Macaca mulatta: one gene and its partner. The protein of the gene in region 1 interacts with the protein of each later gene in a biochemical or structural test. Links are inferred from orthologs where the notes say so. Each region holds a gene or a part of one and is shown on either strand. Other genes may lie near its edges.

Region 1 (5,842 bases):
ATGGTGAAAACTCTGTCTCCACTAAAAATTAAAAAAAATAAAAATAAAAATCCAGGTGTGGTGGCACACACATGTAATCCCAGCTACTCAGGAGGCTGAGGCAGGAGAATCACCTGAACCCAGAAGGTGGAGACTGCAGTGAGCTCATATTGCACTACTGCACTCCGGCCTGCCTGACAGAGCAAGACTCTGTCTCAAAAAAAAAAAAAAAAAAAAGTGTTGATGAGGATGTGAAAGAATCAGAATCTTTATACACTGCTAGTAAAATTGTAAAATGGTGTAACCATGACAGAAACCAGTATGCAGGTTCCTCAAAAAATTAAAAAAGAACTAGCATATGATTTTGCAATCCCACTTCTAGGTAGATATCCAAAATAATTGAAACCAGGGTCTCAAAGAGATATTTGCACACCCATATCCATAGCAACACCATTCCAATAGCCAGAAGGCAGAAACAACACAAATGTTCATCAGTGGATGAATTAATAAACAAAATGTGGGATATCCATACAATGGAATACTATTCAGCCTTAAAAGAAAAAGAAATCCTGTCACATGCCACAACATGGATGAACCTGGAGGATACTATGCTAAGTGAAACATGCCAGGCACAATAAGACAAATAGTATATGATTCCAATTATATGAGGATCTAGAATAGTCAAATTCATAGTGACAGAAAGCAGAACGGTGGTTCCCAAGGGTTAAGGGAGAGGTAAAAAGGAGCGGCTGTTTAATGGGTACAGAGATCAGATTAGAAAGATGAAAAAGTTCTGAAGATCTTTTTCACAGCAATGTGAGCATATTTAACTCTACTAAATTATACATGTAAAAATGGTTAAGATGGTAAATTTTATATTGTATCTTTTACCAGAATTAAAAACAAAAAATAGAATAACTGGCCAGGCACGGTGGCTCACGCCTGTAATACCAGCACTTTGGCAGGCCGAGGCAGGTGGATCACGAGGTCAGGAGTTCAAGACCAGCCTGGCCAACATGGTGAAACCCTGTCTCTACTAAAAATACAAAAATTATCTGGGCATGGTGGCACAGTTCCTGTAATCCCAGCTACTCGGAAGGCTGAGGCAGGAGAATTGCTTGAACTGGGACCCGGAAGGCGGAAGTTGCAGTGAGCCGAGATCACGGTACTGCACTCCAACCTGGGCTACAGAGCGAGACTCCATCTCAAAAAAAAAAAAAAAAAAAAAAAATAGAATAACTGCACAAAGCCAGACTCAAAGGCAGGACTAATTCTAAATTCCCTACTCTCCACTATGACTTCATTGTATAATAAATAAATTACCTTCATTCATTCAGCAAACATGAGTGCCAGCATAAGCACCAGGAATGCATCAGTTAATATAACAGCCACAGGTCTCTGCCCTCACACAGCTAAAGTTCTAGCAAAATATAACTGATCATTTCCTAAGGACACCTGTGTTACCCCTATATTCAAAGGAATTTGTCAATATTTTCGTATTGCTTCAATGTCAGTTTCTTCCTCTCAAAAGCTATTAAAACGGAGACATGCAGAGATAAAGAATTTCCCTTGATTTTTCAAGATCTCAGAGGCATCCTCAAATAACAGTCTTACTTTACTTCCTTTCTATTGAGTGATATCCCGATATGTTTCCTGATAATTCTAAGCCCCAAATTAATAAACGTCCATGTTCCATTATTCACTAACCTAAACCTATTCATTCTTTATTATGTACCTGCCATCATTTTTAATTGCTTATTTAAAAAAGGTAAAACCAGGAAGAAGAATATGGAAAGCATATTTCTAACTCAAGTAAACTGAAGACATACTGTTATTTAGCTTAGTTAAGTAAGATTATTATTTATTTACATCATTTACTAAACCCCTGATTCCAATCCAAACGAGTCAGGTAATACTTGTCAGTTTCAATTATACAGGCTCTTTTCCTTTCTTTCTTTTGCAAATTTAGAGAGCTGGCAACCATTCTCTCTCTCTCTTTAATAAATTCCTATACAAAAGAATTTTTTCAAGGAAACAACAGGCTTCAAAGACAGATCAACTGGGCAGGGCCAAGTGATCCGAGCACTTTGGGAGGCCAAGGCAGGCAGATCACTTGAGGTCAGGAGTTCGGGAACAGCCTGGCCAATATGGTGAAACCCCATCACTACTGGAAGTACAAAAATTAGCCAGGCGTGGTGGTGCACACCTGTAATCCCAGCTACTCGGGAGGCTAAGGCAGAAGAACTGGTTGCAATTAGGAGGCGGAGGTTGCAGTGAGCCAAGATTGCACCATTGCACTCCAGCCTGGGTAAAAGACCAAGACTCCATTTCCAAAAAAAAAAAAAAAGAAACCAGATCAATTATATCAAATTAGCACTAAGCATCTTTTTCTTCCAGAATTAAGCCATCAGGTTTCCCCAAAAAGCAAGTCAGTTTAACATTCAAGTTTCAAAAGCATCTTTCAAATTATATTTAGCATTCTACAAGATTTAGCCTTCTTTTTTTTTTTTTTTTTAACAGCTAAGCTGTTTATATTCTTCTGTAGCTTCTCTAATTTCGCAGTAAGAGCTAAGGGTTTACATACAGATGACAAAAGTATCTTTGATAAAGAGTTCCAAAAACTAACTGGAATGCAAAATCCTAGAGTAAAACCATCTCAGCGAGTAGACACGGTGGCTCAAAAGGAAAGAGAACGAGTGTGCTAAAGGGATTTTCTATGTGGACTACCTGCCTTATTGAAGCATGCTTATGAATATTAAAACATCATTTTGACTGCATTCATTTCAAGCCTCATTCAGAGACCTCAAGGTCTGAATCCCCCACAAGATGTCACAGGAATAGTAGTGACCAGGTTGTTATCATTCCCTGGAAACCGGGAACTTGCTTAGGAGCAAGATTCTTTTCTAATTGAGGAAAGCAGGGAAAAATAGATTGACCAGTTTTGCCTTAAAAAGAGTATCACAAACCAAATTTTACCATTCAAACCCTTCATTTAACTATAAGAGAAAATTAGTTTTTGATTTAAAATGCTTTATCTGAATTTGAAACAAAATATTTGCAATAAGGGCTTATAACGCTATTTTTTTAAAAACTGTTTCATTTAAATGTTCATAACTTAGTGTCACATGAAAAAAAGTATAAAACTATATATATATATATCTCCATATATATATATGGATTCTATTTTTCAAAAACTATATATTACTATATACGCCACAGTTTTCTTCCAAAAACAGGACACTGCTTTTAACCAAGGTCCTCACAACATCTAGCAGGAATCTTGTTACTTCATTCGGCTTGAACAAAACAGGGCAGCAACTGTCCTATTTTACTACACAGTTTGGGGTCACAGAGGATCATTTTATATTAGGGATATATGACATATATGTATGCTTTCTGTATATATGTTTCATACACACCGAGTGTGTGTGTGTGTATATATATATAGAGAGAGAGAATATGTATATGTGCATAAAATATAGAGTAATGTATGTGCATAGACATAAGCTGGAAAAGATAAATGCAAAATGAACAGTGATTACCTCTGGATGACATGAGAACTACATTTAAATTTTCTATTTTATTTTTTTCCTAACTTTCTACAAAAAAAAGCTAAAATACTTATTTTTCTATTGTACTGAACTGGTTTCAATGGCAGAACTCTTTCCTCCCATGGTATACCTTTCAGGTTCCACTATGGAAGAGTAATTTTCAAGCTCTCTGCCATTTTTCTAAATCGTCACCATTTCCAGGTACTCCGGTAAACTTGTTTTAAGGAAAAGGAAGCTTAAAATGTGATAATTTCCTAATCAACACTTCGGTACTGCAAATCAAATTCCTTAAAGATTTACCTTCATCATACATTTCCTCTATCAAATAGGCCTCTGCTCGGTCTTTCAGGGCATTCACATTGTCGGGTTCCATCTGTAAAACTTCAGAACAAACCCTAATAGCTTCAACAGGCTTCTCGTCCTAAAAGGAAATGTGAGAAAGGGATTTATGGTTGGTATTCCACATGATGAGTTTTCACATTTCTGGGAACAAGTCAACTGTTACCTTAGAAAGGCAATGGCAAATCCGCTCCTTTGAACGAATTGTATACTCAGCAATGCTTGGCTCTGTTTTCATGACAGATTCATATTTGCTGGTAGCATCTGTGTATCTAAGAAATGAGCAAATCATGATAAGAAACAATGACATTCGATTTCCAGAGCTGTAGAAAGGCTCCTCCCCTCTTCACCATGTGTTGCTTAATCAATCCAACTGGATGAGGCCACGGCTTCAGATTTGGCTTTTCCCTTATTAATCTAGAGTCCCATAGAAGGTACACTCCATAATTAAGAGTTAAGAAATAAAAACATCTGACCATAGGAGATGCAGATGGACAGAACAAAGCATACCTGTAAGTACCAATCAAACCAGAAGAATTTCCTTACAGAAACAAGCTCAGAATTCCGAACCTGAGTAAAATACCCTGTTGAAGTCTGACTTATACTGAGCACATTGAACAATACAGAGATCAAGTTTTATTTCTTGGTCAGTAAACACTTCCATGAAAATAACGGAACCCATTAAGTGCCATTTTATATAATTAATGTCAGTATTCACAACAAAGTACAATGTAGTTCATACAGAAGGTACCTGATTAAATTCCCAACTGTATAAGCTTTCTAAGAATAAAAGCTATTTCAGCATTTTCTTCAAACCAGTAAAAAGTACTAATCCTGTTATAGATACTCAGTTATTTTCCTCAACAATAGTAAACTAAAAAATATGTTTCTATGCCATGGTGGCACATTATTCCCAATGTGCTACAATCTTCATATGTAAATATGCTGATGTATTAAAACACAGGCTTAACTAAAACATTTAAAATAAAAGCCAGCTTCTCTATCATCCTCAGCAAACTAACACAGGAACAGAAAACCAAACACTGCATATTCTCACTCATAAGTGGGAGGTGAACAATGAGAACACATGGACACAGGGAAGGGAACATCACACACGGGGGCCTGTGTGGGGCAGGCAGCAAGGGGAGGGAGAGCATCAGGACAAATAGCTAATGAATGCGGGGCTTAATACCTAGGTAATGGGTTGATAGGTGCAGCAAACCACCTTGGCACACGTTTACCTATGTAACAAACCTCCACGTTCTGCACATACATCCTGGAACTTAAAGTAAAAGAAAAAAGCAAAAAAGCCAGCTTCTGGGAAAGTGGAATAGATGTATTTTTCCCAATTCCTCCAGCTAAGCACAACTAAAAACCCTAGAAATTAAATGTATATTTTTTAAAATAGAAAACTTTCAAAGGAGGAGAGAAGACAGACTAGCTAGTGACTCAGGACCTGAGGAAAAACATGGTAAGAAGTTCCCTGGGTTCCTTTTTTCATCTCATGTATCCCAGACTTGGAGCTGAAGATTCCAGCAATGCAGAAATGCCAACAGGTACAGAACGACAGTAACAAAAACCTGCAGAAGGCTGCTGTCTCTAGCCAGAGGACCTGAAAAGGGCAGACTTGCAAACAGAAAACTTTTTTTTTTTTTTTTGAGACGGAGTTTCGCTCTCGTTGCCCAGGCTGGAGTGCAATGGTGCAATCTCGGCTCACCGCAACCTCCGCTTCCTGGGTTCAAGTGATTCTCCCACCTCAGTCTCTGCAGTAGCTGGGATTACAGGCATGTGCCACCATGCCCAGCTAATTTTGTATTTTCAGTAGAGACAGGGTTTCTCTGTGTTGGTCAGGCTGGTCTCGAACTCCCAACCTCAGGTCCTTCAATGGATAAATGGTTAAACAAAGTGCAGTAAATCCACACCATGGAAACCATTCAACAGTAAACGAGGAATTATTGATACAATATGGATAA
Region 2 (5,842 bases), on another chromosome or scaffold:
AGACCACATGGAGAGGCCCAGTCATCATATTCAGTCCCCAGCCACCCTCCCAGCTGAATGCAGAGCCCAGATGAGACTAGCAGAAGAACCACTCAAGCAACCCACAGAACTGTGAGAAATGGTTAAATGTTTAAGCCACTAAATTTGGGGGTAATGTTAAGCAGCAATAGGTCACTGATGATAAATTAACCCTCATAGCACAACCTTAAGGTAGATTTTATAGTTGAGGAAACTGACGCAGGTTAAATAACCTGCCAAGGTCACACCACTCTTAAGTGCCCTAAGAACAGGATGAATATATTGAAACACCAGCTTTGTGTCTCCTTCATTGTCATCCTGCCATCATGAACTTGATCAGTTCTTTCTGACAAGGACAGAGGCATCTCTTAGAGCCCTGGCTACAAGATAAACTCTTACCTTTTTGATAAGCTGCATGCATAATGTGTCTTGATTTGACACGTCTGTGGGCTTTCCTAGGACAGAGAAATGGACTGTGAGCTATCATTCTCAGCAGTCCAGCAAATACACACCACTCTGGTTTCTGAAGCTCAAGGAACACTTACTCCCAACATAAAATAATTCATTAACACCTCTGCATTCATTTTAGCCAGCAATAATAAGACAAACTGACAATTTATATCAGGGCCCACACAGTACATCAAAAAAAAAAAAAACACCTAGTTGGGTGAACCTTACATTTAATACTTTCTTAATTGTTTTTTTCTATAACCCAATTAGTAAACCACATACAAAAGACTCATCTTGAATTGTGAAGCAGTTTATCAAAAGTTTTTTAAGAGAATTTACACAAGAATGTTTTGACCCCACCAAAAATAATATGCCTAAGCTTTAAACAAAATTCACATTTTATTTAGATTGAAATAAACTATACAAAATTGATTTTCTTCACCAAAAATAACAGCAATATTTTCCATATTTTTCTAGATAAACCACAACACTTATTTTTGTAGGTTTTCCAGGTTTTGCTTATAAATCAAGATGAGGCAGTAGATAAGAGTCATGGAAAAAGACAGAAAAAAACAGACAAATCAGTTGTCAGTATCCATGGCCTCTGATTCTGTCTCAACCATGAAACAGAAGTGTTCAACATATACCTGCTAAAAAGCTTAGGAAGATGTAGGCTCCAGAAAGGAATGTAAACAGCAACAATGAGATGTGGAACAACAGCAGGCCTTTCCATTCAAACTTTGTCATTTGTTCCTTTAAGTTCGAGAAAGACAAAATCTACACTGAAATCCTTGTTTGGCGAGCTCGCAAGCTTTTCTCCAGTAATTTCTTGTAACTGTCCAGTATAGATTTTTAGCACATTTAAAACTCCTATTAGTCAAAGATCAATTGTGGGCTTCACTATACCATTTTATAAAATGTATTCCTTCCTCCCACACCTCTTCAAAATGTATTTCTTCAAAGAATTCATAACACCCAACAAGTAGAGAGCCACAGTGATAATAAATGCTATGTCTAAAATGACTTAACTAAAACAATTCCAGAGTGCCGTCAACAGAGATCACACAGAAGGAAACATGGCACTTTCAATGTTCTCTTCTGGAAGGACAGGTAGGTCTTCAAAGCATGAGAGTTCAAAAACAGGGGCCATTTAAACAGGTAGATTACCAATGGCTAATGTATTCAATGGAGTCCTATAGGCAAAGATATTTAGTGATTAAGTGGCCTACATACACCTTACGGCTTTTCTTCCAAGTATCAAATATAAGAAAGCCTGTTTTTAAAAGTCCCTTAGGTATTTTCCACAGTTTCAGAATTATCTGTGGGAAGCTCTGACTTACTTGTATAGAGTTTAATATATGTGTCCACCATTAAATCCAGGTCGTGTTTTATATCAAAATTTATGTTAAGCAAAGCCAAGTTACTCGACCTTTGGTCTGTCAAAGTGTTCCTCAAATATGCTTTAAGACGCTTTCGTCCATTTTCATATCGCTCATTCTCAACCTTCATCACAGGAAGAATACACAGGACCTTCAGCAATGCATACACATTAGGAAAAAACTTGATGTCAGGCAGGTGGAGGGCTTCATAGATGGTGGATGGAAGCTCTATATCTTTCCCCCTGTGTTTCCATTTGATTCTCCAACAATGAAGCTCGGCTGACAGCGTGTCAGGATTGGGTAAGTCACTTCTATACATGTCAGCATGGTGTTCCTCCGACGTATTGAATTTGAGTTGTCCCATGACTGAGGGTACCAGAGACAAGCATTTAAGAGCTTTGAGGTGCTGTTCTGAGAATATATCTTTAAGTTCCTGAATAATGTGCTCCACTGTTGGGACACTTAGGGTTTCTTTATAGTAACTCTCAGAGGTTAGCTGAGATTCCAAGTTACCCTGGTGAGCTCTGCGGAATTTCCCAGGGAGTTTCATTTGAATATCAAGTTTGGTTGCCAAATTTGTGGCTTCCTCAAACCAAAATTCATGATAAACTTCAATATTTTCCATCACTTCATTGAGTGAATGCAGTACTGCAGTCAAGCTACCAGCTGCAAAGAAGACATCAGAAGTTTGCCCCTGGAGATTTTTCCCAAAGGCTCTTGTAAAAGATAGGACATTTTTAAGAACAACAATAGTAACAATGAAATCAAAATCTGTTACTGCACTGCAGAGTACAAATGCTCGGCCAGCTATACAGTTATTCCATCTAACATTTGTGTCACTATTTATACCATCTAAACATAAAACAAGTGCTTGCAGGAGTTCCACTAAAATTTCAAAAGCATCATGCCTGCCTGTCCAGTGGGAATGGCAGATTTCCTTCAGTTCTTTACCCCTTTCTTTACTGTTCTGAAAAAGAACAGAAATTACATTGTCAAGTTCTAAAAGCAGCTGTGGTGATCGATGGAAAAAAGAACAAACTTCCTCAATTGTTCCTAACGCAACAGATACTCCCATAACAGGTACTGATTTTGCCAACCACGTATTTAAGGCACAGGAAGAGCAGAGTGTGTAGATAGCCTGGGGATATTTCTCTAAAAGTCTAGAAGCAACAACTTTCATTTTGGAAGAAAATCCACTAGATACAATGTAAGCCTGGCCACGACAATACTCCATATTTAATCCCCACTTCTCAGTTATCATAGTGTGAAATTTCACAGCCAAAATTTCTGCATCAGCTTCATAAGGCAGGAAGCCTATAAATTCCTCTCTTAGGTTATGAGATTCATCAACAAACCTAACCAACACAGGTAGGTGCTCTTCCCCTGCTATGTCCACTACATCATCAGTGATAATGGAAAAGAAGTGTGAGTCTCTCACTTCCCTGAGAGTTTCTTCTCGAATACAGCTCTCACAGATCTCTAGCATCTGCCTCTGCTGTGTTTTCGAACAAAACAACGTGTTAACTGCTGTTGTCTCAAACCGCTTTCTCAGAACCTCTTCACCAGAATTTATCCTACACTCTAGCAGTGCCTGAAAGTTATCTGGAGTAAAGAGACCTTCTGGGATTTCATCAGCCTCATGTCCATCCAGAGGTATGTTTTGCTTTCCCATCAGAATCAATATTTCAAATAGAGATTTTAGGTATTCTTTGTTTTCCTTCTCTTCAAGGGTTAGAGGTAAAATGTCCTCATCTTGCCCTTCACCCTCTTCTTCACTGGGGTTCTGAGCATTGCTATTGTTGGTTTCTTTATGTTTTTGTTCCTGCTCAGAAGTTTCATCAACTGGAAAACAAAGAATTAATGTTACAAACAGGCTCAAGAAAAACCATACAAAACAAAAAATATTACACCTTTGGTTAAATATTTAAAATCCACAAACTCATTCATTCAATATTCATAGGGCATTTACTAGACTACAGACTAAGATAGAGATTAAAATAAGACACTAAGATAAGACACAATCTAGTGGGAGAGACAGTATAAACAGATATATTTTAATCCTAGATGTAAACGCTGTTATAAGATAGGAATAATTTTTTTTTTTTTTTTTAAGAAGAAGAAGCGGGTCTCAATATGTTGCCCAGGCTGGTCTTGAACTCCTGGCTTCAAGTGATCCTCCCACTTCAGCTCCAAAGTACAAGGATTAAAGGTGTGAGATACCACATCCAGCCTAATTTTTAAAACACACTTAACAAGACATTCCACATATGTAATGAATGACAGTCCATGCCCTCAGAAAAACAAAGTGGGACAGAACTAATTACTAAACTACTGTGCTTAGTATTTTATATGCATCACATTACCCTCTCTTCAGGCAGGTGGTATCAACCCCACTTGACAAATGAGGACACTAAGTAAACTTCCCCAAGATCACAAATACAGTTAGAAGAATGGAAGTAAAGTTGAAATCCAAGTGTGTCTTGCTCCAAGGTCCATGCTGATGCTGTTTTTATCAAACCATGATGCCACACATTTATATGGGAGATATGGGACAACTGTACAAACCAGTATAATATAAAGGAGATTAATGTAATTCTTAGGGCTAGTATTAGAATATCACACAGCCTAATCTCTTCATAGGGGATAGGAAAACTGAGGCCCTACAGGCTAAATGCCCTGTCCATAGTTATACAGGTCACTGGTGTCTGCAGGAAAATAATCCAAATCTGAGGAGTCACAGTTAAAACCTAGTTCTTAGAACATAAGACTATGGCCAGGTGCGGTGGCTCACGCCTGTAATCCCAGCACTTTGGGAGGTTGAGGTGGGTGGATCATGAGGTCAGGAGTTTGAGACCAGCCTGGCCAAGATGGTGAAACCCTGTCTCTACTAAAAATACAAAAATTAGCTGGGCGTGGTGGCATGTGCCTGTAGTTCCCACTACTCGGGAGGCTAAGGCAGGAGAATCGTCTGAACCCGGGAGGCAGAGGTTGTAGTGAGCCGAGATCGTGCCACTGCACTTCAGCCTGGGCAACAGAGTGAGGCTCCATCTCAAAAAGAAAAAAGACTGTGGAGGGCGGCAGGGAGAAACAAAAATTCAGAAGTTGCATTTGATGACAAGGATAAATAAGAGGGACATGAACAAGGAGGGCATTTCAGTTGGTGAGAATTATTCCAGCAAAAGCACTAAGGTAGAAGAGGGAAGCAGGCTGTCCAAGTACAAAGGGAAATCTAGTCTGACTGGAGCCTGTGTGAGCCATACTTCAGAGCTTAATAAGGGTTCAGCAAAATGCAGGGAGCATCCTTCCCTCACCCCTCCTCAAATCAGATGACACTGCTATTCATCATACGTGACACAGCAGTGGTTCTATTCTAGGGAAGCTTCCCAAGCCAGAAAGCAAGAGGTTTTCCTGGACGCCTGCCTGTCTGGCTCTCTCCCTCTCTCCTCCATTGTTTCTCTACTTCCAATTAACTAGTACTAATTCCCTTGCTTTTATTTTTTTTCAAAAAGAAGTTCATTAAAGAGCAAAGAGTACAAAGTGAAAAGTCAAGTCCCTCTTCTTTTGGGCATCTTTCCTAGGTGTCATAGGTATACAAATTTCTTAAGTTCCCTGAATCTATTCTCTTTACTCTCTCTACCATTGCCTTAATTCAAGGCCTTTCAACTTTTATTTGGTCAGCTGACAGCCCAACTGGCCTCCCTGCCTCCAGTGTTACCTTTTGTAATCCAACAGAGTACTCTATGTACCATGGAAATCAGGTCCCTCTTATCACCTACTTACAAACCCCTAAGTGGTTTCCTATTGCTAACAGCCCACAAGTCTGCAAGTTCTGGCCTTTGGGGTCCTCTCCAGGCTCATTTTCTAACCATAATGGGTTATCACAAACTTTAACAACACTAAAATGAGTGTAGTTCCCCAAATCTACCACCCTGTTTCATGCACAGAACACCTTTCCCTCTCTTTGCCTAAGTCCATATCTCCTCATCTATGAAGAG

What was found.
Region 2: the proteins of DNAJC3 (region 1) and THAP12 form a complex in vitro, tested with the Homo sapiens proteins (2 studies listed by BioGRID). The link is inferred for Macaca mulatta from reciprocal best matches to the Homo sapiens genes DNAJC3 and THAP12.

Annotation. Positions count from the first base shown.
Region 1 is NC_133422.1:90,496,064-90,501,905, reverse strand, and holds part of DNAJC3 (dnaJ homolog subfamily C member 3), read right to left. Parts: intron 4,142-5,842; coding exon 4,036-4,141; intron 3,952-4,035; coding exon 3,831-3,951; intron 1-3,830. UniProt on the Homo sapiens protein: Involved in the unfolded protein response (UPR) during endoplasmic reticulum (ER) stress.
Region 2 is NC_133419.1:76,759,336-76,765,177, forward strand, and holds the end of THAP12 (52 kDa repressor of the inhibitor of the protein kinase), read right to left. Parts: intron 3,690-5,842; coding exon 1,759-3,689; 3' UTR 849-1,758; downstream 1-848. UniProt on the Homo sapiens protein: Upstream regulator of interferon-induced serine/threonine protein kinase R (PKR). May block the PKR-inhibitory function of DNAJC3, resulting in restoration of kinase activity and suppression of cell growth.